Callithrix jacchus: one gene and its partners. The protein of the gene in region 2 purifies or fractionates together with the protein of the main gene of each other region. This does not show direct contact. Links are inferred from orthologs where the notes say so. Each region holds a gene or a part of one and is shown on either strand. Other genes may lie near its edges.

Evidence for each region.
Region 1: the proteins of CTTNBP2NL (region 2) and STRN3 purify together in Homo sapiens (affinity purification with mass spectrometry; 4 studies listed by BioGRID and IntAct, with this or other methods). This does not show direct contact. The link is inferred for Callithrix jacchus from reciprocal best matches to the Homo sapiens genes CTTNBP2NL and STRN3.
Region 3: the proteins of CTTNBP2NL (region 2) and PPP2R1A purify together in Homo sapiens (affinity purification with mass spectrometry; 6 studies listed by BioGRID and IntAct, with this or other methods). This does not show direct contact. The link is inferred for Callithrix jacchus from reciprocal best matches to the Homo sapiens genes CTTNBP2NL and PPP2R1A.
Region 4: the proteins of CTTNBP2NL (region 2) and STK26 purify together in Homo sapiens (affinity purification with mass spectrometry; 4 studies listed by BioGRID and IntAct, with this or other methods). This does not show direct contact. The link is inferred for Callithrix jacchus from reciprocal best matches to the Homo sapiens genes CTTNBP2NL and STK26.
Region 5: the proteins of CTTNBP2NL (region 2) and PPP2CA purify together in Homo sapiens (affinity purification with mass spectrometry; 4 studies listed by BioGRID and IntAct, with this or other methods). This does not show direct contact. The link is inferred for Callithrix jacchus from reciprocal best matches to the Homo sapiens genes CTTNBP2NL and PPP2CA.
Region 6: the proteins of CTTNBP2NL (region 2) and STK24 purify together in Homo sapiens (affinity purification with mass spectrometry; 3 studies listed by BioGRID and IntAct, with this or other methods). This does not show direct contact. The link is inferred for Callithrix jacchus from reciprocal best matches to the Homo sapiens genes CTTNBP2NL and STK24.

What each region holds. Positions count from the first base shown.
Region 1 is NC_133509.1:65,427,160-65,432,322, forward strand, and holds the start of STRN3 (striatin-3), read right to left. Parts: upstream 3,636-5,163; 5' UTR 3,442-3,635; coding exon 3,160-3,441; intron 3,031-3,159; exon of another isoform or gene 2,784-3,030; intron 2,329-2,783; exon of another isoform or gene 2,273-2,328; intron 2,123-2,272; exon of another isoform or gene 2,043-2,122; intron 172-2,042; coding exon of another isoform or gene 1-171. Other genes in the region: cytochrome c oxidase subunit 7C, mitochondrial, read left to right, coding at 1-171. UniProt on the Homo sapiens protein: Calmodulin-binding scaffolding protein which is the center of the striatin-interacting phosphatase and kinase (STRIPAK) complexes.
Region 2 is NC_133508.1:150,417,172-150,421,642, reverse strand, and holds part of CTTNBP2NL (CTTNBP2 N-terminal-like protein), read right to left. Parts: intron 3,273-4,471; coding exon 3,165-3,272; intron 2,067-3,164; coding exon 585-2,066; 3' UTR 1-584. UniProt on the Homo sapiens protein: Regulates lamellipodial actin dynamics in a CTTN-dependent manner. Associates with core striatin-interacting phosphatase and kinase (STRIPAK) complex to form CTTNBP2NL-STRIPAK complexes.
Region 3 is NC_133523.1:45,574,761-45,580,038, forward strand, and holds the start of PPP2R1A (serine/threonine-protein phosphatase 2A 65 kDa regulatory subunit A alpha isoform), read left to right. Parts: upstream 1-1,864; 5' UTR 1,865-1,938; coding exon 1,939-2,016; intron 2,017-5,278. UniProt on the Homo sapiens protein: The PR65 subunit of protein phosphatase 2A serves as a scaffolding molecule to coordinate the assembly of the catalytic subunit and a variable regulatory B subunit.
Region 4 is NC_133524.1:127,582,019-127,587,253, forward strand, and holds the start of STK26 (serine/threonine-protein kinase 26), read left to right. Parts: upstream 1-1,930; 5' UTR 1,931-2,036; intron 2,037-2,135; 5' UTR 2,136-2,244; coding exon 2,245-2,286; intron 2,287-5,235. UniProt on the Homo sapiens protein: Serine/threonine-protein kinase that acts as a mediator of cell growth. Modulates apoptosis. In association with STK24 negatively regulates Golgi reorientation in polarized cell migration upon RHO activation.
Region 5 is NC_133503.1:74,130,942-74,135,570, reverse strand, and holds part of PPP2CA (serine/threonine-protein phosphatase 2A catalytic subunit alpha isoform), read right to left. Parts: intron 4,139-4,629; coding exon 3,965-4,138; intron 2,815-3,964; coding exon 2,725-2,814; intron 2,238-2,724; coding exon 2,076-2,237; intron 596-2,075; coding exon 477-595; intron 1-476. UniProt on the Homo sapiens protein: Catalytic subunit of protein phosphatase 2A (PP2A), a serine/threonine phosphatase involved in the regulation of a wide variety of enzymes, signal transduction pathways, and cellular events.
Region 6 is NC_133502.1:14,261,377-14,266,718, forward strand, and holds the start of STK24 (serine/threonine-protein kinase 24), read right to left. Parts: upstream 3,306-5,342; 5' UTR 3,291-3,305; coding exon 2,832-3,290; intron 1,524-2,831; exon of another isoform or gene 1,509-1,523; coding exon of another isoform or gene 1,506-1,508; intron 1-1,505. UniProt on the Homo sapiens protein: Serine/threonine-protein kinase that acts on both serine and threonine residues and promotes apoptosis in response to stress stimuli and caspase activation.

The DNA of each region.
Region 1 (5,163 bases), on a different chromosome or scaffold from region 2:
AGGTTCACAACCTCTGTGGTCTGCAGATGCCACTATGAGGAGGACCCTGAGAAGAATTTGCCATTTTCAGTGGAAAACAAGTGGCGGTTACTAGCTATGACGTGTTTGTACTTTGGATCTGGATTTGCTGCACCCTTCTTCATAGTAAGACACCAACTGCTTAAAAAATAAGGATATTTCAGTTCATCCATTTAACAGATATGAAGAGCACTTTAAGAGGTAGTCTCTGGAAAATGGATCAAACTCGAACTCATATAAAATATGTGATATGTTTGTAACCTTGGCAAAATTATTTAACCTACCTAAATTTGTCTCCTCACCAGTAAAATAGGAATACCTACCTCATCATGTTATACTGCTGATTAAATGGCAGTTTCTAACTTTTACATAACACGAATTACCAAAATTCCACAGACAGTCCATTTTCTTCAAGCCCTAGATCAATCCAGATCTCCAGAGGATAAGAGGCCTGCATATTTTTTAAAGTTCTACAAGTGATTCTGACAGGCACTACTGTTTAGAAACCATCGTCCTACAACCATACTAACAATGCTTTACCTAAGTCCAAGGTAAGGAAGAATCAGAGACAAAAGAGCTTTAAGACATGATCCTTTGGTTTAGTTCCAAGTTTCTAAGACAGAGCTTTACTCTAAATTCTTTTTACAGAGAACAGAATCATACTGCAAAGTTCCTTTTAATATCTTTTTCAAAGCCGGGGAAAATATAATTCCCTACTAAAATTTTACATCAATATGAGGTACTCCTTAAGCTCTTTATGTTCACTATTGAAACTATTCAATAATTAACACTTTAAAAATATGTGTAGATTGACAGTGCACCATAGACTGTACATAATAATATGTAAGTTGTCTTATTTCTAGGTTGTCTTTCTTAAAAATAAATTTAAGTTTACAGTAAAAATCCACTGATGCTTCACTACAACCCTCCCACAAATTTGTATTCAACACATACATTTTAAAATATGCACCTCACAAGCAATCTCAGTAGACTGAAGGCACCTAATGCAAATTCAATATCCTGATGCAAACTAGAAACTCTATTAACTAAGTAACTCAATAAAACATTATAAATATATAGCACAAAAAAAACACCAACACCATCATGAGCATTTTATTACAAAAGAATCAGTATGTAATAAAGAGTCTAGAAACACTGCAGGATTTTTTCAAAACAAGGAAACAATAACTTAGGATGGCTATATCAGAACTACTATACCAAGAGTAGAACTGAGAGCAAGCAAGCAAGAGGACTCGTCCTTAAAACACTCTTCTGTTGCTGTAAAGGAGAGGAGACCTAGAAGGGAAAGAAAATGCTCAAGGCAATAAAGGCTTCATTAATGAACAGGTTTTACTAATTTGGACACAAGCTATCTTTCTTCTCAGCTGCTTACATTAGTGAAGTTTATAGGTGAAAAATGAAATTGCTGACTTGAAGAGTGTTAAAATCCAAACTTGCATACAATAGTAAAAAGGTGGAAGAAACCAAAGTGGGGAATGGTGAAGTATTATTTAGTGAGCCTAAGCCTTAATGCATTTGTTAATGCAAATTTTAAAAATAAATGCGTTACTAACTTTACTCACACAGAAAATTAAGTTTGCAGCATGATGTAGTAGAAAGCTGTATACCAACAAAATTCTATAAATCTTAAGTATTTAAAGCAGACTACACAACTTAAAAGAAACCACAGCTTTGACTTCAGCTTTTTGAAAGTTATGTATTTTTAAAGCACAATATTATATCAAAACACAATTGTAAAACACTGAAATGACTAACAAATGTTACAATTTTTTAAGACTTCATACAGTGTCAAAATATCTAAATATTTTTTACTTTCCAAAAGTTTAACTTCACCCATTTTGTGGAGTCATATAAAAGTTTACTAGTTCAGCACCAAACTAAAGAGATTCATATTTGTTTGAGGACACCCTTTCTAGTTAATCCAGTCCTCTTCCTTTCAACACTACATTTGCCTAACTATTCACCATAGGCATATGACATATATGACAGCAAATACCGCTTACCTCCTGAATATACAACAGTCTGAAGAACAGATGCAACACTATTTAGACGTATGCTTTCTTCTTCTAAGCCTAAATTTGCCCTGCAAAGGTATTTAAAAATAAACACAAATACCCAAGAAAGTTAATCCTTTCAAAAAGATGCGGCAATTTTGAGATCCGGGACATGAGCCGTTAACTACCAACATCTTCCAAACGTGTAGCCTATCAAAGGTTCACATTATAAGGAACGAGTCAAGCTCAACTATGAAGGGTCGGGAGGACATCTCACTTTGCTTCTCCTGCACGAGTAAGTAATATGATACAACTACGTTTCACTTCAAACTTCTATTAAATCTTTTCAGTCGTTTCATAAATACAGCATAGTCAGTCTGGTGTGGTTTTTTTTTTATGGATAAAGAAAGGGATGGGGAAAGGAGGTCTAGTGAAGAGTACTCTAAAAAGAAAAATTCAGTGCTAAAACCGTTGATGAGTCACTAAGAAAGGAATAACTACAGAGAATCCAAGTGAGTAAGGCAGCATCTCAGGTAAGAAGTACTTAAAGTTGACGATGGGAAATAAAACTTCACAGGGCAGTCGCAACTCACTGTGCACCGTAGCCGCCCAGGACAGAAGAGTAGCTGTCAAGGGGCAAGTGCGTACCAAGTCTGAGGGAGGGGGCCAGATATGCCAAATCGGAAAAGGGGGTGGTCCGGAAAAAGGGGGTAAGATGCCTATTCCAGTCCCTCTCGTTGGGTTCCTCACCTCAAGAGGAACAAACAAGAGCAAACTCAGTGTCGAGCGGCCCCAACCCAGACTCAAGCCCTGGAGGCCCGGGAAGGCCGCCTGCGGAGGAGCCCCCGCAGACGCCATACTAAAAGCCAAAATGGCTGCCCCGAGGAGGGCCGCACCGCGTAGCTAGTGAACGTTGGGGAGCAAGCTTCTGCGGGAAAAGAGGGAGGAGAACTCCAAGAAAGTCGTTGAGAAGACTATCACACCCCGAGCAGCACAGGTAGGTTTCGCTCGGCCTCCCGAGGTGCCGGCTCCGGCTGAGAGGAGTACCGGCCCCACCCCCCCACCCCCGCCCCGGCTAGGAACCCCGCCGCCGCAGCCGTCCCGCACACCGACCCCAACGAGGTACCTGCAGTTCGGCCCGTTCCACCTCCCAGTGCGCCCGCTCCATCTCGAACCGAGCCCACTCGTGCTGAATGTAGTGCAGTATCCCCGGGATAGTGTACTGCTGCGGCCGGGACAGCTCGGGGCCTGCCGCGGGACCCGTTCCTTCGGAGGCCGGAGGACCCCCGCCGCCCGCCGCTCCGTTCCCCCCTGGCGAAAGGCCCAGGTTCCCCCCAGGTCCCTGCTGCTGCCGGGGAGGGGCCGCCATCCCGGGGCCGCCACCACCGCCTCCGGCAAGCTCGTCCATTGTGTGTGGGGCCCCGGCCGGGGCGCAGGGCGAGACGCCGACAGCTGGGGGAAGGGCTGGAAAGCGTGGCCCCGCGCTAGCGGCGGGGCGGAGGCCGGCCAGGAGAGGGGCGGGGAAGGGGTCGTTGCTGTGTGCCTGCTGTGGGTTAGAGCAGGGAGCTGCCGGCCGCCGCCATTACAGTCCCTCCTCCATCTGCCCGTCTCACTCACTTTAGGGGAAGGGGGGGCCGCGGAGGTAGGGGTGGGGGTAGGGTTGGGAAGGGGATAGGCAGAGGGCCGTCACTAGCGCACAGCATGCCGGGTAGCGAACGCCGCCGCACGCTTAATCGCCAAATAGAGTCCGGCTCACCCTACGCCGGCGCATTGAGAACGCAACCGGAGTCGCCGCTAGGGGGCGGGGAAGGAGCTCGGGCTCCGCCCCTAAGCCCGCCCACAGACCCTGTTCGGTGTCTGGCGACGGCTACCGGACGCGAGGCTGGGATTCTGACTTGGAAGCGAAGCGGTCCTAGGCTTCCTGGTTATCAGTTTCCTTCAAGCAGGCGATCTCCAGGCGCCGTTTCTTTCCCGAGGGTCTCACCCGAGTGCTGGCCTTCGGAGCTGGGTATTAACCTGGCTGGTCGCTCTGGTGGACTGCAGCCTGTCTCGGATTCCTGACGTTTCTCCTTTTTCATTCTTTGAGTGTTCAGGCAGTCCCAAAGGTGGGCCCTCTTTCTTCTCCTGTCACTCCCTCTGTCTGGTTTCTTAGCACCAGTCAGTTCTCTTCTGGCAAATAGCCGAGATCTTCCGGCTGTGGTGACCGATTCCTCGTCTCGGTCTCGAGCCTGGGCTTTGGTCCCATTTTTGTGCGCTCGGTCTCTGGCCATAACTTATTCCACTTTGCGTCCCCTCTTCTTTCTTTTCCTGGAATGGGTGTGTTTCGGGGGGTTGGGAGAGGAGGAGCGATTTTTAAATTCCTTTACATCTTGACGATGGTGGGTAGAAGGAGAAAACAAGTTTGAAGGAGACTGGCTAGACTAACAATTTGTTATCTTAGAAGTGAATGGGCTCATAAATATTGTCATGAATAGACTATTTTGATCGAAACAAAATAAAAGCATTGTGTATACAACTTAAAATCCTAGGTGGATGTTATCCTGGGTCGTTAAATGTTTAAGTGAATATGGCCGGGCACACCTGTAATCCCAGCGCTTTGGGAGGCTGAGGTGGGCCATCACTGTAGGCCAGGGTTTCGAGACCAGCTTGGCCAACATTGTGAAACCCCATCTCTACTAAAAATACAAAAATTAGCCAGGCATGGTGGTGCACGCTTGTAGTCCCAGCTCCTAGGGAGACTGAAGCATGAGAGTTGCTGGAGCTCAGGAGACGGAGGTTGCAGTGAGCCAAGATCACACCACTGCACTCCAGCCTGGGAGACAAAGTGAGACTCCGTGTCAAAGAAAAAGTTTTAATATACACATGAAAGACAAGACTAATATTTTAAATACCATAGTGGGTATTTTTATGTGCTTAGTTTCTTAGAAAATATCCTAATGTACTAGTATGTTTCTAAAAATTGATATAGGTGAGAAGCACTTGGTTGAAAAATAAGACAAAAATAACAACATAAGGAAATTAGGTTCAGTAATTATATTAATAGCTATGCAGGGAAATGGCATTTAAAATCTGTTGCATTTAAAAAAAAATTTTCTTTACTCAAAAGCCAGTAGAAGTTGTGCTATGGAGT
Region 2 (4,471 bases):
CTTTAGAAGGATTCCCGTTCTAGTTACGCAGCCTTGTTTCAGAACACAAAGCTTGTATTAAAACAGTAAAAGAGGATTAAAAGCAGTGTTGGTTTTTAACATTCAGAATTCACAGAGGATCTCATTTCCTGCAATTAAATGATCCATTTTGTGTTTTTGCTGCAGATTCACATTCCTATGGCAGTCATATTTCAGGCACTTTTAAAACATGTTCATCTGGAATAAAAATCTGCATGAACCACTTCTGCATAATTCGAAATGAGCGCTGAGTGATTCTAGTTCCAAAACGGATCGCAAATGACTACCTGGTACTCAGTTAGCTTTCTTCATCACAACATGACGGTGACTGCTGAGCTTGAGACATCTTTGAGGTGCCTTTCTAGCTTCAGTAAAAAGATGTGAGCCATACAAATCCAAACTACTCAGTTTCTACTTAAAAAAAATACAAAACGGTGAAATATGCCAAATGTATTATACAGATGGTTTCAGCTACTATCAAAATAAATAACATAATCTGACTCCAAAGTCTGGGCTCCTGGACGAAATCTGATGGAATGTCAAACGTGGAGATTCCCTCCTAGGGACTAGCTGCTGGTAGGCAAGAGTAACTCAACGTCCTTACCATTTGCTACAACGGTACTGGAAGAGCAGCTGCTGGCAAGGTCTTCTGTGGTGGTCAGAGAGGATGCCTGGGAATGAGTTTTGGTCAAAGGAGTGGTAGCAGATGAAGAAGAAGTGAGGCCAGGTTTTTTGGGTGGGATGGGTGGAGGGTTTCCTCTCTCAGCTCTGGGGATGGTTGGGGACTTGATTCCTGGAGATAGGGGGCTCAGGGGACTGGATACTTTCCCTGGAGTAGGTGAATGGCTTGTGTCACCTCTTGGATTGGCAGTGTTGGCCAGATTTCGATAGTCCGTGCCAAAGGGAGAGCTGTTGGGAGACACTGGCTTGATTGGCCCTTGTTGGCTGGTGAATCTGGAGAGCACCTGAGTGACTGTGTTTCGGGCCAGCTGCTTGGCGGCAGAGTTGTCTATGAGGGTGGGGGATAAATCCCTGGACGGAGGGCTTTGTAGGCCACTGGCTTGTTGGTCCTGATCTGCTTGGGACTGAAATTTGTGCCGAGCTGCATGGAACCGCTGGTTGATGCCTACTTGGTAGGAGGACTGGTAGCCAGGGCTGCTAGCTGATGACCCCAATAAACGCTTAGTGAGTACCGGCGAAGAACAAGGAGAGGAGGTTAAAGAGGAGGAGGCAGTGCTGCTGGGAGACAGGGAGCTCCCACTGGAAGGGAGGGGGCTGGGCACTGGGGCTGGCATCTCAATCCCCACAGGACACCCACCATTCTCCACTGGTTTCTCTTGGGCCAATGCCACAGATTTTTCCCGTGGAGGCACTTGGTTTTCCACACTGTTGCCTGCAGTCAGCTCCCTGGTAGTTTGTATCTCTGGGTCAAAATGGCCATTGGTTTTTGCATATGAGAAGGCAGGAGAGGTGGGACCAGGCAGCCCAGTGTTTGTTATCTTGGCTACGCTGCTTCCATGGGTTCTTTCTGCTGGAAAACTCTCTGTTTGGCAAAACACAGACATTAGCACGAGAGGCTCAGTTGCTGTGCCTTTGGACACGGTTACTGGTTTCTTCAATTGCTCATTAGGGCTACTGTGCTGGTGGGTGGCCTCTAGGTCCTTCACCATCTTCTTCAAACTTTCCATTTCTTCTTTCAGCGTTTTGGTCCGGTTCTCTTCTCGGTTCAGTTTTGCTCTCAGTTGTTCCCTTTCAATGTCAAACTCTGACAACTGCTTCTCTACCTGGGCCTCAGTCTGCAAACCTCGCTTTCTCTCAGCTGCCAACTCTTCTTCCAGTTTACTCACTCGGCTCTTCTCCTTCTCCAGTTTCAGGCTCAGCTCTCCTGCCTTCTGCCCTTCCTCAGCTGCCTTGCTGGTGGCTTTCTTGCACTCAAGCACAAGCATGGATGAGAGCTGCTTGTGGCGGGAGCGCTCCTCTTCCAGCTGACTAGAGAGCTTCTTCTGTTCTTTTTCAAACTTTTTCACTTGGGACTTTTCAAATTCCAGCTAGAAAAAAATGCCACCACATATATTGATTAGAATAAGAAAAGAGAGATATCCTCAAAAAGTATGATCAAATGGAGTGTCTGTGTTAGCTGTTCTCTGGTATATAGGATTAACGTGCATGTCACAGTGCTTAAATCAAGTATTTCTGAGGTTTTGGAACACCTAGCACAAAAAAAGCAGACGCTATGATTTAATCTTTCTCTGATGATTTGTGAGGCACTTCTAGTTCCTATACTGTCTTGCAGTGATTAGTGGGGCTGTGATGTACCTTTGTGTTTCGTGTATGCGGAGAGGACACAGCATCAGAACCAATCAAAACGAGATAACGGAAAGCCGCATCAACCAGATTTTGTGACGAATGTTGCTGCTAAAAACAAACCTTTTAAGGTTTCGGCAGTAATTTTCTCAGGTCTTAAAAACAAACTCAAATAGTTGCGTTTGGATCATACTTTTTACACAAATACCGTCTGTTTTAATTGTCTTCCCAACCCCATTTGAGGCAGAGACTCTGGGTGAAAGGGAAAGGGTTGAAGAAACTCAGTGTTTTTCAAACTCTGAGATCCACTAATGGATGGGGAAACAAATTATGTGAGCCGTGACTAGAACTAAAAAAAAATAATAAACAGAAACCATCAATACGTAGACAGTAGGGGTTATATATGATTTCATGAGATTTTGTTTTAGGCATAACTGTGTGTGTTTATACTGGATTGTGACATAAAATGTCATTCCTTACGGGGGTTCTAAATCAAGAAAAGTTTGAGAGCTACAAACTTTTACCATTCCCCAATGTGTGTTCTACCAACAATAGTCCCACAGGGAGGGATCTCTATCAATAAAAGATTTTGTAAAACCACAGATTTGCTAAACACAGAACCCCTACTTTGTTCTTGAAGGCTCACAGTGTGCTTCTGCATACTAAAGAGCCTGACAGATTTAAAGTTAGAATCCTGTCTAACTTTGTTCATTCCAGTAGTTCCCAAACTTATTTGACCACGAAGCCCCCTTTCGAACAACAACAATTGCTTTCCTGCAGAGTAACTTTTTGGAAACACTGTTCTAGACAAATGCGACTGTGAATCCCTCTACCTGAATTACCTGTTGAGTCAGCCTCTCTCTTTCCTTCTCTAGCATGTAGGTGACATCATCTCCTTCGGCCGTATCCTGTGCATGCCTCTGCCTTTCTTCCTCAAGGTCTAGGATCACCTTTAAAGAATTTTTAAAAATTCATTTCCAAATATCAACGAGTTGCATTTATTATTACAGCCAATACTAAGCGCCAAACTAGGCCCTTAATGATAGTTCCAGAGATGAAACAAACAAAGAAACAAATGGAACCCAGCAAGCGCTACCAAGGGGCACACTGCCTTACAGTGACAGCCGTGAAAGCTGTTAGAAAACAGTAAGATATTTACTTTACTTGAAGTATGTAAAGAATTCTATGCAAACAGAAGAGAGCAACTAAGAGCGAGAGGGGTTGAGGCAGTTCCAAGAAACTGCAGGCAGTTTGGCGTTACTAGGGGGTCAGGTGTAGGTGATGGAGCAAGACAGGACCACAGCAACCTGAAAGCTGACAGTTTCCTCTCAATGCTGAAATCACTGGAGGCACCAAAGGAGGAGCCTGAAATTCAACATTTCAAAAAGGTGCATTCTAAGTGTGCCTTGTTTCACTAATAAAAAAGTTTTCATATACTTAGATAAGAGGTGAAAACTCTCTTGAGCTCATCCTGCATGTGAAAAGGTTCGATTATACAGATCTTAAATGGAGATTTTTCACAAGGTCTTTTATTTAACCTGCCTACCCCTATTCCACTTCTCCTGGTGCCAAAGGATTAAGCCCAATTTTAAGGAGAAGAATTTATTTTTGGAGACAGGGTCTTGCCCTGTTGTCCAGGCCGGAATGCAGTTGTGCAATCATGGCTCACTGTTGCCTTGGCCTCCCAGCTCAAGCGATTCTCCCACCTCTCAGCCTGCTGAGTAGTTGGGAATATAGGTGTGTGCCACCATGCCCAGCTAATTTTAGTATTTTTTGTACAGATGGGGTTTTGCCATCTTGCCCAGACTAGTCTCGAACTCTTGGGTTCAAGTGACCTCAGCCTCCCAAAATGCTGGGATTACAGGTGTGAGCCATCACACATGGCTGAGAACACAAATTTAAAGGGATATTTTTCACATAATCCCAGCTACAACTGCAAATATTCGGACTGGAATATGGCAATGGAATTCTTAGTAGTTTCTGCTCATGCTTCAGAGGTGCCTTGGCCCAGACTTCCAGGGTAGGGCACTGTTGTCCCAAAGGCCATTTCTTAGTCTTCTCACTAAAATTTTTATGAATGAAGACAGAAAATTTTCTGGGACATGAAACCTTCCTATAAAAATAAAAATGAGCTCATGCCAATGATCCC
Region 3 (5,278 bases), on a different chromosome or scaffold from region 2:
AGAGACCTTGGGGCTAGGGGGAATCCTGGGAATCCGTAGGGCAGGGACTGAAATATTCAACCCCGTCGTGACTTTTATGAGCAACAGTTTCCTAACTGGAGTGGGTAAGGGTATTTGAATAGATGCTGGGCGGGCGCACACAGGCGCAGTGGCTCACACCTGTTAATTCCAGCACTTTGGGAGGTCCAGGTAGGTGGACCACCTGAGGTCGGGAGTTCGAGACCAACCATGGCCAACATGGTGAAACCCCATCTCTACTAAATATACAAAATTAGCCGGGCGTGGTGGCTCGTGCTTTTTGTAATCCCAACACTTTGGGAGTCCAAGGAGGAAGGATTGCTTGAAGCCACAAGGTCATAGCAAGATCCCTGTCACTGCAAAAAAGAAAATTTTACGATAAGTTTAGCTGGGCATGGTGGTACATCCCTGTAGTACTCAGGAGGCAGAGGCAAAAGGGTCTCAGCTACTCAGGAGGCTGAGGCAGGAGAATCGCTTGAACTTGGGATGCAGAGATTGCAGTGAGCTGAGATCGCGTCACTGCACTTCAGCCTGGGTGACAAGAACGAAACTCCATCTCAAAAAAAAAAAAAAAAGAAAAGAAAAGAAAGAAAGAAAAGGCCAGGTGTGGTGGCTCGCTTTAGAAGGCCAAGGCAGGCAGATCACCCTGAGGTCAGGAGTTTGAGGTCAGCCTAGCCCAAAGTGGTGAAAACCCCGTCTCTACTAAAAATACAAAATTTACCCAGCTACTCCGGAGGCTGAGGCAGCAGAATCACTTGAGCCAGGGAGGTAGAGGTTGCACTGTGCTGAGATCAGGCAACTGCACTGCAGCCTGGGCGACAGACTGAGACTCCATCTCAAAAAAAAAAAGAAAGAAAAAGATGCTGGGGGCATTCAGACCTGTCAGAGCGCTAGCTCAGTCCAGCCCTTCAAGCGTAGCAGAATGAAAGAGGAAAGAGCATCCCAGGCCTTCCCATCCCTCCAACTCCCTTAGTTACAGTGGTCCTAAGATTTCAGTGGGTGGGTTGGTGGGGGGGGGGCAATGTGTTTAGGGAGGTTAAAAACAGAGATTAGGCCTGGCTTGATGCCTCGCGCCTGTAATCTGGGTATTGGATACCAGCCGAGGGGTTTGGGTTTCATCCAAAGAGCAAGACAACTGAGCTCAACATAGACTCGGTTCTACAAAAATTTTCTGCAGGCTGAGGCCAGAGGGTCGTTTCAGACTGGGGAGGTCCAGGCGGCAATGAGCCGAGATCGCGCCACTGCACTCCAGCCTGGGCAACACAGCGAGACAATGTCTTTAAAAAAGCAAAAAAAAAAAAAAAAAGATAGAGAAAGAGAGAGAACAGGGCAAGTCACTCCCTTCTCTAGGCCTTGGCATAAAATAAATACAAAGTCTCATTCCGTTCTCCTCCCGCGCAAAGGCGCGGGGGGGGGGCCACTCCGCCAGCCAATGGAACCACGGCTTGATAACCCAAAACCTGCACACCCTACCGCTCCCCACATGACGTCATGTATTACCATCGACGCACGCGCAGAAGCCTCCGGGATTTACCGAAAGGCAGGCTTAGCCTCCTCCCCATCTCGCCCTTCATTGGCTACAAACAACTGCTCGTCTCGGTCGTTGTCAGCGGAGACGAGGGCGGGTACAATGTTGGTCGCTAGGACACCGCTAAGTTCCTCTTTCTCGCTCTCCTAGGCTCAAACTAGTCAAATCTCGTTCAATCGACCAATGGCAAATGGGAAATGGGCGGGACTTCACTAGTCTGGACCAAAGAAACGCGGGCTTAGCCCGGCGTAGCGCGGCCAATGACCATGGAGCAGCCCCTGTAAACTGGCTTGGGCGCCCCCACGCGCGCGTTTCCTCCTCCTCCTCCCAGCTCTGCCCCGGGTTTCAGCACAGCGCTGGCCGCAGTCTGACAGGAACGGGACGGAGCCAAGATGGCGGCGGCCGACGGCGACGACTCGTTGTACCCCATCGCGGTGCTCATAGACGAACTCCGCAACGAGGATGTTCAGGTCCGGAGGCTACGGGGGAGTTAGGGAAGTGGGGAGGGGGATCTTGGGACACCGGCAGCACTCGCGAAGACTCAGCGTTCGCTGGGAGTGGCGGAAGGAAGCGGCGGCCAATCAGTGTGCTTTTCTTACCTCCCCGGGTGCCCGGACTCATTGAGACGGCGCCCCCGATTGGGTGTCGACCCAGCGGAGGGCGGGGGCCAGCGCCAGCCTCGAGGGTCCCGGGCCTGCAGAGTGCGCGCGGTGGCCCTGGGTCCTGGGAGGCCGCGACCTGGGCTACGATCGGTGGGCTGGGTTGGGGAGAGGAGAGAGGAGGACTCCGTGATTGGCGGCGGCTTCCGAATGGTCCCTTGGGGATGTGGGGCGCGCGTGACTTGCTCCGAGTGGGGGAGGGCCGCCTGGTGGATCGGGACCTGGAGAGTTTTTTGTTTTTTTTTTCTTTTCTGGGTTTATACTCCTGGGCCAAGTGGGGACCGAGAGGCGAAAGCCTGCCATCGCAATTCCTGCTTTTCCTACGCTTCTCATTTTGGTGTAGGTGTCCTAAGAGGAGGGGGATGCAGAAACAGCGCCCCCCCCAAAAAGTGGGGACTAGCCAAATTTAGGGGCGAATTACATTGTAGAAAGCTGCCTCCCCACCCCCGGATCCTCCCATTGACCAGGATAGGGGGCGAAGGCTTTGCTAAGCCGATGAACATTTCTTCCTAATTTTTTTTTTTTTTCGATACCGAGCTCGCTGTGTCACCCAGGTGGGGGTGCAGAGGCGCGATCTCGGCTCAGTGCAGCCTCGCCTCCCGGGTTCAAGTCGTCCTCGCGCCTCAGCCCCCTAAGTAGCTGAGATTACCGCCGCGATCCACCACGCCCAACTAATTTTTGTATTCTTAGTAGAGATGGGATTTTGCTTTGCTAGCCAGGCTTGGTCTCAAACTCCTGACCTTAGGCGATCCACCCGCCTCGGCCTCCCAAAGTGCTAGGATTACAGGGGTGAGCCACCGCGCCCGGCCCGGGTGAACATTTCTGGTTATGGGATGAGGTGGCCCAAGGTGGTGTGGGATTGAAAACAGTTAGGACTTCAAGTTCACCTCCCACCCGCTGTGTGACCTTGTGCAAATTATTTCACCGCTCTGGGCCTCTGTCCCATAAAATGTGGGCTAATTGTAGCCCTCGTCTTGCTGGAGGGACTTGTTGAAGGGCTGAATGAATTATGACACAAAGTTGAGTGCTGTCAGGCCTGCCATAAGGGCCGGATAAATATTAGCTGCACTTATTGGGAGTGGTGATTAAAGAGGTCCCATCCTCCCTTTAGGCCTCAGTTTTCCCGTTTATAAAATTGAACAAGTGCACTGGGTAACCTACAAAACGTGGGTCCCATCCCTAGGTTCCTGGTATATCACTTTCTGGTGGCAGACAGACCGTGGTTGTACTCCTGGCCCTTCCACTTCTCACTGATTGACATGGACAAATTAGTTAATCTCTCTAGGCCTCTGTTTGCTCTTCTCTTGATTGGGGATAATTATGTAGTTCATAGGGCTGTTGTATTGAATTTTTTTTTTTTTTTTGAGATGGAGTCTCACTCTGTCGCCCAGGCTGGAATGCAGTGGCATGATCTTGGCTCACTGCAACCTCCGCCTCCCAGGTTCAAGCGATTCTCCTGCCTCAGCCTCCAGAGTAGCTGGGACTACAGGTGCATGTCACCACAGCTGGCTAATTTTTGTATTTTTAGTAGAGATGGGCTTTCACTATATTGGTGAGGCTGGTCTTAAACTCCTGACCTCATGATCCACCCGCCTCGGCCTCCCAAAGTGTTGGGATTACAGGCGTGAGCCACCGCGCCCGGCCGTATGAATTCTTTTGTTCAGTAAACACATGGCGTGTATCAGGTATGATGCTGGGGGTGTAGTGGAGACACCAGTTGCTCTACAGGATCTGCGTGTGAAACAGGCCAACAGAGCTGAATGAAAAGTGATGGGAAGGGAACAAACAGGATGTTGTGGTAGTGAATCCACATTGAATTGGGCGAGTGTTCTGTGCGGGGCACTGTTCTAGGCACTGGTATAGCAGGGAACGAGACAAAAAATCCCGCACTTGGGGAGTTTACCTTGTAGTGAGGAAAGACAGACAGTAAACGAAGAGTATACTGTATTACATGCGGATGAGTGTCAGGGAGAAAAGTAAGAGAGAGAGGAGATGCAGTTTTAAAGTGTAGTCTGGGGAGGCCTTGTTGAGATGATGTTTGAGAACACACCTGAAGGCAGAGGAAGCAGGATTACAAAGTTGGGTGGGGCAGATGCATTTTAAGTAGGCCATTCGGGCAACGCCCCTCTGAGGATGCAGAGTTTGAGAAGAGACTGAAAGAAGGTGGGGAGGAGCCTCCGAGGAAGAGGAAGCAGATGTGTAATGGCCCTTTTTTTTTTTTTTTTTTTTTTTTTCTGGCAGAGTCTCCCACTGTTGCCCAGGCTGGAGTGCAGTGATGCAGTCTTGGCACACTGCAGCCTCCACCTCCTGGGTTCAAGTGATTCTCCTGCCTCAGACTCCTGAGTAACTGGGCATGCGCCACCACCCCTGGCTAATTTTTTTTTCGTATTTTTAGAAGAGATGGGGTTTCTCCAGGTTGACCAGGCTGGTCTCAAACTACTGACCTCAGATGATCCGCCCATCTCGGCCTCCCACAGTGCTGGAATTATAGGCGTGAGCCACTGCACCTGGCCCGTTTCTTTTTTTTCTTTTTCAAGACAGGGTTTCACCATGTTGGTCAGGCTAGTCTCAAACTCCTGACCTCGTGATCTGCCCGCCTCAGCCTCCCAAAGTGTGGGGATTACAGGCATGAGCCACCGTGCCTGGCCTGTTTTTTGTTTTTTAACTCCAGGATTACTTCCTTCAACTGCCCGTCCTTCCTTCCTTTCATTCATCCATCCATTCACTAACCAGCAAACATTTGTAGGGGCTTGTCTTTGTGCCAGGATCAGAGCTAGGCAGCTTACCAGTTTATTCTAAAGGATATTACAAAGGATACAGATGAAGACACGTAGGGCGAGGTATGGGGTGAGATGTGTGGAGCTGCCATGCCCTCCCCTGGGCATTCCACCCTCCAGGAACCACCAGGTGTTCATCTGTCCAGAAGCTCCTATGGCTACTTTTGTGCTACAGCACAGACTTGCATAGTTGTAGCAGAGATGGTCTGGCGCTCAGAACTTAAAATATTTGCTCTGTAGCCCTTTGCAGAGAAAAAATTGCCAACCTCTGACCTAAACCATCTGCATAACACATG
Region 4 (5,235 bases), on a different chromosome or scaffold from region 2:
CCCTCAGAGTCCTGCCATTCTACCTGAATAATTCTCATGTAAGAGAAGCTGGATTTCTGGCCTCAAGGACCTAATATGGGCAGAAAAAGCAAATGAAATATATGAAATATGAAGAAAGGACTACAGCGTGAGCGCTGCTCACATTGGAGGGATTTAAGGGAGGGCTTGGAGCAACTAGGAAGAGTCAATGGAGGTGAGACTTGAGACAGGTTTTAAATGATGAAGTTTGATTCAGATCCTTGCAACTCAAAAGTGTGATGTAGGCATCATGACCATGTGAGAGCTTGTTAGCATTGCAGAATCTTGGGCCCACTCCAGACTTGCAAGATCAAAATCTGTGCTTTTGAGGGATCAAAAGAACCCTCGGATTTCTAGGGTTCTTAGAAGTTTAGGTGGCGCTGCAGGTTTCTGGTCAGGCTGGCAATGCTGTGAGCTGGGTTGGTGGGAAATCAAGACTAGATTGGAGCCTACCATTAGGTTAGAAATAGTGAAAGGCTGGACTGGGGGAACTAGGAGTGAGGAAAATGCAGTTGTACCCTTTATCATTAAAAACAAAGAGGAACCACAGAGAAAGTAGTAAATTTATCACCAGGCAGAGGCACCTGCGTCTGAATTCCCAGCTGCACCACTTCTTGTGTGACATTTGGGTCAAATTATTTAACCTGGTTGAGCCTTTTTCTTCATCTGTAAAGTAGGGGGAAATCAATAAGACCGCAGAAGGCCCTTGTAAAGGTTCAGTAAGGTATTAATAACACACAGAAAGCACTTAGCAGTCTCTGGCACAAAGAAGATGACATCCATTAATGATAACGATATTGATAAGAATCATATATTATTCTCTGAAAAAGATGTAAAAGGAAGAAGAGAAACTACTATTTACCACTAGAGGCCCCCCACCGTGTGGTGGTTAGAGACCCAAAACAAACTTCAAAGTAAAGAACTTCATTTTAAACTGGCATTCGACTATTACGTTTTTAAAAAGTAATTAACCCCTTATGTGTTCCCAAAGGTGCCTTCATAATGAAATTCCTGTTGCTATTATTACCAGTGTTACTGTCGCTGTTAGAGTACTCTCAAAAGAGCCTGTCTCCCTCCCGCAGTGGAACTTAAAATGCGGCGGAGGCAGGGAGTTACCAAAATCGCTGCTGTGTATGCCGAATTCAACAACCTGTACTGCTGACGATCCAATCTCATTTCCCAAGCCTCTACTATCCTCATTAACTTTTCTGCTGATATAACATCTGCTTTCCATTTTCCCTCTGCCTTTACACGTGCAGAACTTGTGGTAGAGAGAAGCCCCAGTTTGGCCGTCCTGCAAGTGATAGCCAAAGAGGTAGGGGGAACCTTAGGTTAGAAGTCATCTGAACCATGTCTGGGGTCGGGGAACTCGTAAAGCTTGAGTGTGGCTACTGGTCTGCCCAGAGGAGCAGCCCCCAGCTGAGGAGGCCAGATGGCGGGAAAAAGCGGGGGCCGCCGACTCCGCGGCTGTGATCCCGCCCTAGGCCAGGCCGGGGAGCCAAGAAAGACTTCCAACACTCCCAAGTTTCAACTCAAGTCGTCTCCGAGGGTGCGTGTGCCCCAGCCTCGCACGCCCGCCTGCAACAAGGTCGCATCTAGGACGCCCTCATACCCTCAGGGTTTCCCAAACTCTTCCATTCTCTTCCCAGGCCCAGCCGTGTTCCAGGTCTCCCGTTCGCCGGGTTCTCCTCACCCCATGCCGGGAGAGTCTCCAGCTTCTCAGACTCCAGCAACCCCAGCCAAACCCCTTCGCTGCCTGGAGCCTTGGCTCCCGCGACACCGCCCGGCTGCGGGGCGGGGGCAGGGCCAACGGCGGAACCGCCCCCAGCCGCCTCCCGGGCCAGGCAAGCAGGCGGGTGGCTGGGACGCCTCCACCTCCTCTTCCTAAAGCGGCGAGGCGCAGAGGAGCGGCATCACTCGAGCCCAGGTCCCAGCCACCACCACTCACAGCGCTCGGCGTTCAGGAAGAGGAGCAGCAGCGGAGGCGGCTGCTTCAGTGGCGGGCGGGCGCCAGAAAGGTAGACTGAGTCCCAGGGAGCCCCGCCGCGAACAACCCACCTCCCAGCCCGGGCTACGCGCCTCCAGCCCAGTAACCCCACTTCTGTGTGTCCTTCCAGGCCCCTAACGACAAGCCTGGGAGGGCCGCCGAACTACCCCTGGAGGAGGAGCCAGTCCGAACTCAAGGCGCTACCGCCGCAGAAGCGGAGCGAGGCTACAGTCGCCTCCATGGCCCACTCACCAGTGGCTGTCCAAGTGCCTGGGATGCAGGTGAGGAAGCGCAGGCCGCCCCCCGCCGCCCACGTGACTGCTTGGGAGCCCGGAGCGCTCTCGGTGCTGGGCACCGACGACAAGGGACGGCCCCGGGACTCCCCTGAGGGCTGGGCCGGTCACTCTGGCCAGGTGACCTGGGAGTAGGGCTTGAGGTGTTTCCTGGTGTGTAGGCTAGGTGGTGCTCTTCGCTGGGAAGGCGAGGCGGGACTGGAGCGCGCAACTAGGTGGGGATTGAGGGCGGCTGTGGGGTATAAAAATAGGCCAGAGCCACAGACACCTGCGCCTGTGGAGCTTGGCACGGTTGGGGATGGGAGGGGGGGAGAACTTAACCTGCGAGACATGAAAGTGCCTTGGAAGTTGTGGGGTAAAACGCGAGTAGTGAGTGCCCTACAACCCCCACCCCAAACACGCACTCAAGCTGGGGCGGGGCAAGACCAGGGGTGTCGGCGGCAGCTTGAATTGGGCTCTTCCTGTGTGCGTAGGGCTGAGAGAGAGAGGTGACCTCTTTCTCCCTTTCGGTACTGCTGCTTAAGGGCAAAGTTGTATCTGGCTCCCCGACCTGGCCCAGCCCATAGCGTGGAGCGAGAAATGTTGGTCCTGTTCAGAGTCGCTGAAGTGATGAGTTCCCAGCCCCCCTCCGTGCCTTTCCCACGAGATGACTTACATGTGGTTAAAGTAAGCATATTGTCCTGGACAAGGGACTACTGCATGGGACCCAACTTCTTACTCAAAGTCTACCCAGCCCAACCCCCTCCCATTATATTTTCATTTTATTAAAGGTAAGCCATGTTGGAAAACTTCTCATGCTGTTATGTTTTTAAATCGGTGCACTTTAGGCTATCTGCTAAATGTTATCCAAATCTACCAACTTTTTAAAGTATTCACTTTTTTTCCCTTTGCTAGATAGCCCAAACAACCCATTTATGAATAGTTTAGAGGCTAAAAACAAGAAAGCCTCAGTCTCTCATGATCTAAAAATGTGAAAACAAACTTTTTTCAAGTTCAGAAATAAAATGTTTAGAGTAGCAAATAGCTTATATTTACTGTAGACTTGGGCCTCAATTTACTTATTAGCAGTGTTCTCATTTTATGCATGCCCACAAAAGTGATTTTAAAATTATTTCCCAGAAAGGGATCATTTGTGCACCTAGAACTCCTGGTGTGTCCTAAACATCAGACATTTCAGCTGCATTTAGGGCAAGTCTGGGTTGAGTCTCAGGAAGTTAGTGTATATTAAAGAGAGAGAAAGGGAAATAGGAAATAGTAGGGCTTAAGAAAAAAAAAAGATTAATCCATTCAAGCCTTGCAAAATGTCTCAGACTTTCTTCCTCTCAGGCGGCCTCCCCTCTCTTCCCCCCCCTTTTCCCCACACACCCTGTCCCACACCCCATTCATTCAGTTCTGCCTTTGATTGTATCAAGGGAATTCATAGTTTGCAATACTAAGTACAGTTTTGCCGTCGGATCTGGGAAAAAGTGACATTTTCCCACCGTGCTCTTCTTTCCGTTCTATGGAGAGTGGAACGATGCACACGTGAAGTTTGTCTCTGAGGGTCTCCATGCTTCTCGCTCCATTGTGTGCGTGAGCCTGCGTGTGTGCGTCAGCAGAGTGAGTGCCTCCCGTTCTCAAGTTTGTGATTCTGGGGAACTCTGTGTGCTAAGGAGAAAATAGTTTCCGATCTTTACTTTATTTGTCTTGACCTTATTGAATTTATATGGTTTAGGAACTGCTTACTGTTCAGTATTTCTAAGTGCTGTTCCCTGCTTTGTTTAAAGATCTGAGTTGCCTATCTCTTGAATATTTACATCTTAATTAATGTGGATTCGAATGTGAATCACATACTTTAAATTACAAACTCTGCCTTTCACTGCTGTCTGAATTCTGATTACTTTGTCCCATCTAATCTGAGTAGGGCAAACATCTCAATGTTAGCAGAGAAGAGAGGAATTATTATTATTTTTATTTTTTGGTCATTCTCTTCATCTTAATGAAATGGTAAATTCTTCTTATTTCCATTTTCTTTCTAAATGTACTTCTTAAGCACTTTGTGCAACACATAGTTTTTTCCATAGTTGAAATTGTACAATACCCTAATAATAAATGTGAGAGCACGCAGTGTGACTCTTGAACCTAGACTATTTCTGTTATTGTTATATAGCAAAATATTGCGGATGAGATGCAGAAATTCGTTGCAAGCTTGTAAAATGCTCCTAGAGTTTTATGAAAGCCTTAGGAGCAACTTTTAGATTTTTAGAAAACTTGAGTTAGCCATGTGTTCTTGAAATTACTGTATGGTGTTTCCACAAATCAGGGTGAGGTGACCGGCCAGCCTATAACTTTTTAACAGTTTATTTTAGAGAATTATGAAGATTGATGGGAAAAACGATTTTTCCAGAAATAAAAACAAAATTATCCACAATTTTTTTCTCCCTCTGAGGAGAGACGTGAAGCTACCTGTTCTATCACTTAAGACTTCCAGCATTCCTGACTTTCAAACAAAGAAATTTCTGTTGCCACTAGTTTAAAATAGAAAAGAAACTTGGAGTGAAGAAAGAAAACCCAGGATTTGGTCCAGTTCAAACTCTTCCTTATGAATTAGGTATTCAAACTCATATTGTTGATATTTCTTAATATTGTGGTAATGAACATTTTTGCCATATTACACCAAATGTTGAGGGTACTTATTTTGTGCTTGCTTCTTTAGTGTGTAACTAAAGGAATTTTCCATACCAGTAGCTGAACCCTTGAAAATATTGAAAGTACAACTTAAAAAAAAATAAGCCAATAAACCTTTTCTTTCAACTTAAATATGTACTCTTTCATGATTTGAAGAGTTTTGAACCTGTTTTCTTTGAAGTTTTCAGTTATAAATTATACTTAGTTTTAAGATATTTCCCCTTAGAACCTACAATAGTATTTTTGAGGACAAATTTTCATTTAGAATAT
Region 5 (4,629 bases), on a different chromosome or scaffold from region 2:
TCAGCTTGTCTCACTGTAATAGAACCCTAATGATAATAGTCTGTTAACTGTACTCCCCTTGAAAGCGTCAAGCAACTTCAGTCAGAGAAACTATGCTTTTATGAAAACATGATTTCAAAAGTGAAAAACCTAGTCATTTATACTAGGTTCTATACATAGTAAGTTCCTGTTGGTGTGTTTCAATGTAAGTCCATTAAAAAGAAAAACAAACCTTAAAAATAAAAGTTGGAATCTAGCATAGCACAATCACTTAAACTTTAAACATCCCATTTAGAACTATGTATTCAAGCTGGGCACCGTGGCTTACACTTGTAATCCCAACACTCTGGGAGGCCAAAGTGAAAGGATCACTTCTGCCTAGGGGTTCAAGACAAGACTGGGTAAATACAGTGACACCCTCTCTCAAAAAATAAACAAAATAAAAACCTACATATTTACCAATTCAATCAACTGTTCAGGCAGGTAGAAGTACTTACAAAGAGTATTTTAGAGTATCATCAAGTTCCATGATTGCAGCTTGGTTACCACAACGATAACAATAGTTTGGAGCACTGAAAATCGTTACTACATTCCGGTCATGGCACCAGTTATATCCCTACAAGGAAAATGAGATAAATATCTTACTTTACTCCCTTATTTACAACTAAATGTTACTTCACTCAAGGGAAAATCTCTACTCATTCCCACCCCTGCCAAAGAGGCTTAAGAAACATTAATGCTTTTTTTCTGGATGACTTATGAATTTGCGGTAATAATAATCCCTTTTCATACAACCTGTAAATATCCCTTATACAATCTGTAAATAACCCTTTTTATACAACCTGTAAGACACACATGTATTTGTTTTTCCCCTAATTATAAAACTCAGTTTTTTAGTACTAAAAAGGAAAAAAAAAAAAGCCTTTAACAAACAACACCAACCACCGAAGAATAAACTGCTTCTTATGCATCTGACTTGCTGAAAATGGTAGTGTCTCATTAGCCTCTTCTACTGCAGTGGCCTTAAAACCTGATTTAAGAATAAGTATTTATGTGGCCATTCCCTAGAGAGGTAGACACCTAATCCTGGAGACCATAACCTCACTAATTTTCTTGTCATAGGTAAAGGCCTATTAGTGTGTGGTTCACTGCCCAGGAACAAATGAGACATGCCTCTAGTCTTTCCAGCCTTGCTTCCTCAAAGTCCATCCATCTGAATGTACGAGCTACTTCTGTTACTTTTTGTTTAGTACTGTTCACAAATTTATCTTTAGCAAAGTCAGATTTTATCAATACCCACAGAGTTATACTAGTATTAAACTAATTAGGACTTTATTTTTTAAAATATGCTCATCAGTGTGCCATGTCAAGAACCTTAGCCTTGGTCAGGCACGGTGGCTCCCGCCTGTAATCCCAGCACTTTGGGAGGCCAAGGTTGGTGGATCACAAGGTCAGGAGATCGAGACCATCCTGGCCAGTAAGGTGAAACCCCGTCTCTACTAAAAATACACAGATTAGCTAGGCATGGCAGTACATGCCTGTAATCCCAGCTACTTGGGAGGCTGAGGCAGGAGAATTGCTTGAACCTGGGAGGTGGAGGTTGCAGTGAGCCGAGATGGCGCCACTGAACTATAGCCTGGCAAAAGAGCTAGACTCCATCTCAAAAAAAAAAAAAAGGAACACTAGTCTCTTTCCAATCACCTGTAATCCTACTAACCAAAGGACCATTTAAAACATTTTAGTGTATTTCTTTCCAGTCTCTCCTACACACATACATGTTAAATATATGGAATAAACAGTGGGATAATAAAATATTATACACACACTCCAACTCCCTACATCTTACTTTCCCACTCTTAAATCCCAAAGCACTTCCATTCAGAATTCTCTGAAAACATGTTAATGGTTAATTAATTGTAATCAAAAGCTTGAGCTTTTAATTCTTGTGTGCCATCTACTGAAAAGGCTCAGGCTGTAACGGCAAACTCATCAGAAGGAATAAATGGAATTTCTCACAAGTCATTAATTTAAAATTCCCTAATATCTTTCCTTAAGTTTACTAAGAAGCAAGTCGTATTTCAAAGAACAGAGCATACCTCCATCACTAGCTGGTGAGCTCTAGACACCAACGTGAGGCCATTGGCATGATTAAATGTCTCAGATATATCTTGTCCAAAGGTGTAACCAGCTCCCCGAGGAGATATACCCCAACCACCACGGTCATCTGGATCTGACCACAGCAAGTCACACATTGGACCCTAAAAAGTAACTTCAAGTTATAAACTGCCTTTAACAAACATGGTTAACACAGTATTTGAGTAATTTAACAGAAGCAGCACCTAAGTCACCCTTTTTGAGTGATGTTTGTGGAAAATGCTAATAGATTGTACAACTGAAGTCACACATCTGCATCAAATAAGATGTATTTTCTAGCAGTCTTTATGAGACACAGCTGACATCCATGGGACCCAACAGCAACATGCCCTATTAATCTGCCTATATTATGCAAATTTCAGAGCTATGAAACAGACAACCTAGGTCCTAATAAACCAAGCTCCATAGCTATTGTGATCTTGGCAGATTTCTTAATGTCAGCTTCTTCTGAACAGGGCAGAAAGAATGCTCACACCTCAAGTTGTTTTTGAGAATTAAATGAGAGAATACATATAATGAACTAACTTACAATTAAACTTCTCCACTCCCTAAAATCTTTTCAGAAAACGTATTATCAAATAAAAGTCATACCTCATGTGGAACTTCTTGTAGGCGATCAAGTGCTCTGATATGATCCAGTGTATCTATAGATGGCGAGAGACCACCATGTAGACAGAATATCTGAAACGAGTGGTTTAAAATGTTAACCTCACCTAAAAAATTGGTAAACATTCTTGGCTGGGCACAGTGGCTCATGCCTGCAACCCTTTCGGAAGCTGAGGGAGGAGGACTGCTTGAGGCCCAGAGTTTGAGACCAGCCTGGGCAACACAGCAAGACCCTGTGTCTCTATAAAATTTTAAAAAACTGAGCTGGGTGCCCCCATCACTGGGCCCCACTGGTGTTTCTGAGCTCTGCCTGAATGAGGGTTGACTCTGCAGGGTACATCTTTGCTCCAGCCCACTCTGAACTACTGAGTACACTCCCATTCTTCCTAACAGACCATTGCTGTCACACCCAGACTCCACCTTTAACAGCTCCTTTGAGAAAACTTCTTGGATATTACTCCTACTCCCTGCCAGACACTAACGTCTTCACACTCAAAAAATTTTCTTGTAAGTTCTTTTGTGTACACATCTACCTAAACCAATAATTAGCTCCTTACATCTCCCAGGCTTGTCCAAAAACAGTCTGAGAGGATATACGGGTTACACCATCCACCTCTGTGATCCCACCATATAGTTCAGTGCCTGATATAAATAATAATGCACTTAAAAAACCGGACACAATTATTTGTCAGATTAAAATTTTTTTAAAGTTTGAATGAATGTTATCAATTTCTACTAAACTATATTCCCAAAGTGGTGTAAGAGTGGAGTCAGCTGGGTACAGTGGCTCACACCTGTAATCTCAGCACTTTGAGAGACCAAGGCAGGTGGATTACAAGGTCAGGAGTTCAAGACCAGTCTGGCCAAGATGATGAAATGCTGTCTCTACTAAAAAAAATACAAAGAAATTAGCCGGGGACCTGGAATCCCAGCTACTCAGGAGGCTGAGGCAGAGAATTGCTTCAACCCAGGGAGGTGGAGGTTGCAGTGAGCAGAGTGTGTACCACTGCACTTCAGCCTGGGTGAGAGAGGAGGGAGGGAGGGAGGGAGGGAGGGAGGGAGGGAGGGAGGGAGGAAGGGAAGGAAGGAAGGAAGGAAGGAAGGAAGGAAGGAAGGAAGGAAGGAAGGAAGGAGAGAAAGAAAGAGTGGAAAGGGTCATGAGCACCTCAACATTAAAGAAAGCAGAGTCTGAAATAACCAGCAAGGAGTTTTAAGATCCACATACCTGCCCATCCACCAAGGCAGTGAGAGGAAGATAGTCAAAAAGATCTGTAAAATATTTCCAAACATTTGCATTTCCGTATTTTCTTAAACATTCATCATAGAAACCATAAACTTGTGTGATCTGTCTGCTCTCATGATTCCCTCGAAGAATGGTGATGCGTTCACGGTAACGAACCTAAAACAACAAAATGGAAAACATAATCAACTAGCTTTCAAGAACCAATGACAATCCAGGAAACTTTCTATAGAAAAAAATCTAGAATTACAATTTTGTTGAAGAACCAGCACACAACCTCTATCATACTGAACCAAAACCACAGCTCTACAAAGTTTTTAAATCCCCATGGGGTGTTTGCTCACCTCATCTCAACTAAAATCAAACTCCCTCTATCACCAACTTTATACCAAGCATAATCAATGGAATATAAAACCCCACACATAAATTACTTTACAGTTCAATAATTTTTCCAAAATTTATGGTTACGCAACAATCACCACAATCCAGTTTTAAAACCTTTCCATTATCCTGAAAAGATCCCTCCTGCCTGTCTGCAGTCACTCTCCACTCCCACTCTAGCTCCTGGCAACCACTGATTTACTTTCTGTCTTAGTCTGTCTTTTCTAGAAATGTCATATAAATGGAATACAAAATGTAGTCTTTTGTAT
Region 6 (5,342 bases), on a different chromosome or scaffold from region 2:
CGGATGTTCAAAGGAAAAAGTGTTTTCCTTATGTCTTCTTAATAGCAGTATTATGAAAACTGTGGGGTGGCTGTGAGCAGAGAGTAGAGACCATGATGTCAGCATCAGATCCAGAAAACGGGAGTATAAATCCTAACCTAATTTATACTGAATTTTTAAATTCTTTCAAGAGATATTTCTTATTTTTGACCTAGAAGCTGCCAATGTCGTAAATACACCAGATACTGTCCCTACAGAATTAAATCATGTAATCCCCATCTCTTCAAAGAAAAAGAAACCACAACACAAAGCTTAGATGAACTGCAGGAAAGATTTGACCCAGTCTGTCTCAACAGCCCTTGCCCCCAACCATGACTCTTTACCCTTCACCTTGAGGAAGTGTTTTATCTGCATCTAAACAGCAGGTACTGGTATTACTGAAACCTGGGGGGAAGCAGGTATAGCACATAAATTCTGGGTAGTGTGGAATAGAGTGAGCAATGCATTTCCACTCCCTACTCCACTACTGCTGCTACGATATTTAGCTGAGAAAATAAAACCGTGCGTTTCAAAGCAATCCTTGCTAAGTATGATGTCTTCCTTGGCACAGATCAAAGGACACAGAACACAAGTGAGTCAAAGGCTGCTCGTTCCATCTCCACTTGCTGTTCTCCAAGGACCCACTGGGACTTTAACCACGGACCGTTTATAACTCATTTCTTATCCTGGCTTGAAGACAAAGGTCATTCACAAGACTGCATTATTTTCTGGGCATGGTAATCAGCTCTCATGATTTAATATTTTCTTGGCACCACACTCCACCGACCCCAGCACTGACTGGTATGCCAGCCATTTTTAAGTATTGTAAATGGGACTTAAATAAGTAACATTTTGGAAGGTGTGCAAACCTAAATAAATATTGCTGAGTGGGGACCGTTCTAGCCAACTCTCTTGTCTGTTAAGGGAAAAACAATACATTCATCCTCCGTTCGCGTATATATACACACACACACACACACACACACACACACACACACAAACACACTCTCTCTCTCCCCCCTCCCCCTCTCTCCCTCCCCCTCCCTCTCTCCCCCTCTCTCTCTCTCCAGTTGGTTGGTTCCGACTTCCTCCCAGCCCTGCCTTTTACTGATGGGGGTAACCAGAACAGGGCCAGCCTCAAAAACTCAGGAGTCAACTCAAGTGATAACACAGTAACCCCAAATACTCATGCAGCCCTTTCTGTTTTTCAGGAAACTAGCATATAAATATGAATGGCTTCCCAGACCTATAAGGTAGTTCACGCACTTCAGATTAACAGACGCCTTAACATCACAGGGCTGCGCCTAATAAATGCTCAGTTTCCGGCTCCTAGGTTCCTTTCCCTATTAGTCCCTTGTTCCTGGAGTGAAAGCGATGGGAAGTAAAACAGACCACAGCCCCTAAAAGGCTAACGGTGGACTCTACTTTTTATGAGTTTGTCTTTTACCCTACTTTTTCTATCTACACGTCCAAGTACCAACACTCACCATGTATGTCTGCAAGAGGTCAGCTGAAATCCAGATCCCATCATTTCCAAACTCAACACCAGAACGCACGGCCTGACAGGAACAGGTAGATTTGTGGAGACAATGGGACAGAGTACAAAGTCTCAGACTCACCCCTCCTTGTAGCAGAAAACAGCAGCCGGCCAAGTGCGGGAGCCCCCGGGGCCTAGAGGTGCCTGCAAAGGCCGGGGCACAGGAGAGAGGCTGAGGCTGTGCTCCAGCTGGGAGGAGAAGACCAGTGATGCCATCCTCCAAAGTTCACAGCTTCGGTAAAATCCTATCTACCCAAGTGCCCTACGGAGTTGTTCCCACCCCCAGCAAAAAAAAAAAAAAAAAGATAACTAAACACTTGAAGGGCAAACCAAATGCAACAAATGCGCTCCCCAGCTGGACCCAACAGGAAGTCTGCATACATTTACTTAACTCTAGCTCTCTCAATGATTCAAGCACAACTCAACTTTGATTCTGTGCTCAGATCTGAGAAATCTCAATCCTCCAGAAGCACCAAGCAAAAATAAAAAAAGGCCTCCAAGCACAAACACAGCTGCCCCAAATTCCCGGCCCACCCAAACCGCACCTCTCACAGGGAGCCTCAGTCCTGATCTCAGGACATTCTGGTGCGTGATAAAGGCACAGGCTACGAAAGGTCCAACAGCTGGGCTCCACTGACAGCAGCTGAGAAGCAGCAGGTGAGGCAAGGGTGGGTGTAGACCCGAAGACGCCATCTTATCGCTGCATAGAGACAGAGAATGCAGGGGAGGCAGCAACAGGAGACCCCACAGTGTGGCCCGGAAGCCCTCTACTCCCAACTGGCCCCCAAGGATGGCGGAGAACTACGACAGGATGCAGGACACCCCCGAACTGTGAGACAGGAGCTACCAGCCTGCAGATGCAGTGTGGGTCATCAATGGCTTCAATTGAATGATTGCTACCAGAAGCTGCCGTCCACGACTCCGTACCCAGCAGACTCAGTCAAACACATGCGTAAGCCACATACTATACAAAAGAAACTTGATTTCACTTCTGGGTCTTTTTTGATCTTAGGCTTCATAAGAACACCACACAATGTAAATTGGCAAGTATGAGAATCCTGGCTGTAATTTGGAGTCACGTTAGTGGACACCAGGTTTAAAAATAGCTATGAAGAGGCTTCCAGTAAAAGCCATCAAATGAAAGGCGCATTATGTTAGGCTGCTCTGGCCCACACTGACGTTAATAAACGAAGGAGCGTGAGAAGAAAAGTCCATCTGCAATAAATGTAGGAACTACCGGAACCGGAACCCACAGGTAACATAGCCAGGCACTGACCTCTGCTCCAGGCTGAGGGGAGAACTGAGAACACATCAGGACCCTAGGCCTGCAAGGGGGCAGGCGGCTGGGAAACTGAGGTCCTTTTCTTGGCACGTGGGGCTGAGATGGCAGGTACCATTCCTGTGGGAACCCAATTGCAGATCCAGAGGCACCCAGCAGGCCTGGTCCACGAGGGCATCTCCACTTCCCTAACCAGGAAGGCTTCCTAGTAGAGAGGCCAGCTTTTCGCTGTGGGCCCCAGGCAACTGGGCCCTCACCCCTCACCTGGGGAGCATGCGAGGGTGCCACCGGGAGTGGCACAGGCCCCTGGAGTATCTCATCCCTCGGAGAAGAGCAGGCGCTGGCACAGCCCACAGGCAGAAGGCAGGGCAGGCTGGAGAGAAAGAAGAGGACAGAGCCACCTGCCCCAGGAGGCAGTGCTCCCGCCCCTCCGCGCTCACCCCACGCCCGGCCCATGGCAGGTCCCCTCCTAAGCCAAAGGAATCCACGCTGACGAGTGGAGGAAAGGCAGTGGTAAAAAAGAAAACAAAAGGAAAATATTTCCAAATTCCCAAGGGAGAGGGGAAACATTTCAGAAAAATACTGCTCTCAACTCAAAGAAATTACAGACAATCCAGATAATCCTTTTTTTAAAATCTCCAAAAAGCATTAACACAGCTAGAGATGAAGGTAATAAAAATCACTAATAAACCTCATATTAAAAGCAGCAAAAAGTAGAAAACAATGACATAAAGAAAACTGTATTACCTAAGAGTAGAAGCACTAAAAAGATGTAAAAGTGATCAGAAAATGAAAATAAGTAAAAGGCAAAACCCCCCTTCCGGTCAGTTTCTACTAGAGAAATAATAAGACAAGTGGAAAGATTCATAGGTCCATCAAAATTTTCCAAAAATTTTTTTAAAGCTGCAAACTCCCTAGGTAAACATCAATGTAAAATTACAGGAATTGGTCCCCTTTTGGTTGGGGGACAGGGTTACTTATTTACACATCCAAAGAAAAAGGTGGAATGATGTACACTGAAATGCTAACAGTACGTTTTTCTCTTATCTGTGTTTTCTGCACTGTCCCTGTTGCTAACAATGAGCCTGTCTCACAGATGCACACTGTGGGAAAAGCAGAGCTCCAACATCGCAATTTCTAATGTACACATGTGCAGATCAAAAAATGCCAGACTTGGCTTCAGGAAGATGATTTTAAGCTTATTCCCGGCTGCTCAAAGTCAGTGATTAGACAACTCAAATCCATTACCCTAAATCAATACGGATAATAATAAAGAAGCTAAAAAGCAGCAAATGTCTTTCTATATTAGATGAAACATCCTGCATTACATTACACCAAATACCGTAATTACCGCATGACTTGTAAACAATTCTTTCCATAAGGAAAACCAACAAAATGAAAATATAAAAAAAAGAGAAAGCATTCAAGAAAAAATGTTAACTCATTTTTTTTTTAAGCTAAAAAAAGAAACATGAAAGTTTAAAGAAATTGGGAGGTCACAGAAATTGCTTAAGATCTGAATACAATTCAACACCAGTCTTTTTCTTTCTTTTTTTTTTTTTTTGAGGTGGAGTTTCACTCTTGTTACCCAGGCTGGAGTGCAATGGCGCAATCTCGGCTCACCGCAACCTCCGCCTCCTGGGTTCAAGCAATTCTCCTGCCTCAGCCTCCTCAGTAGCTGGGACTACAGGCATGCGCCACCAGTCTTAAAGTCCTTGTCATTCTGGGTTTCACTGATGAAGGGTAAGAGAGCAGGAATAACTTCCGATAAATAAAACTGTTCTGTTTAAAAGACAGCGCACAGATGACCGCTGTGGCAAAGGCTGGGCAGGGTGCTGGGGTCCTCCTGATGCCTAGTGCCCCCACATTGTCCCCCAACCCCTGTTCACAAGGGACAACTGCAAAAGGGCCGCAGGCACAAAGCGTAGCCCCTTCTCCTGAAGGCAGTGTTATGCCACCAGATCTGGTAAGCATTCAGGCAGATCTCAAATGGCCTGGCCCGTCTGAGAAAGCCCTTAGTTTCAAAAGCCTTCTACCAACTCTTACAAAAACACACACTTGAGCAATTCACTTTAAAAGCCTTTTTTATAATTTTGCTTTAAAAAAAAAAAAATGGTGATGAAATCCCCAGACCTGTCAAAAGCTGAATCTATGCCAGAAGGAGACCAGATTTCACCACGAATATGGTGAACAGTGACTTCCTTCAGTGCCCTGGCCACAAGTGGCCTCACTCACCACCAGATGGGCTGCGTATCCTTCCACCTGGTCTCACAGTCAACCAGCCCAGAGATAAGTAGGCTAGTTCATCCTCCAGACATCACCCACAACAGGCCTTAGCTCCAATCTCACAAATGCAGGTCGGGCAGCCCCTATCACGGAGAGTCAAATTCCCATTTTTAATTTCCAATGAGGTGTCAAGAACCAAGCAACAGACTCAGAAGAGCCAAGACAATGGATTTTCTCAACTAAAAAAGGCCAGAACACATGAACTCGTGTTTGTCATGTGAA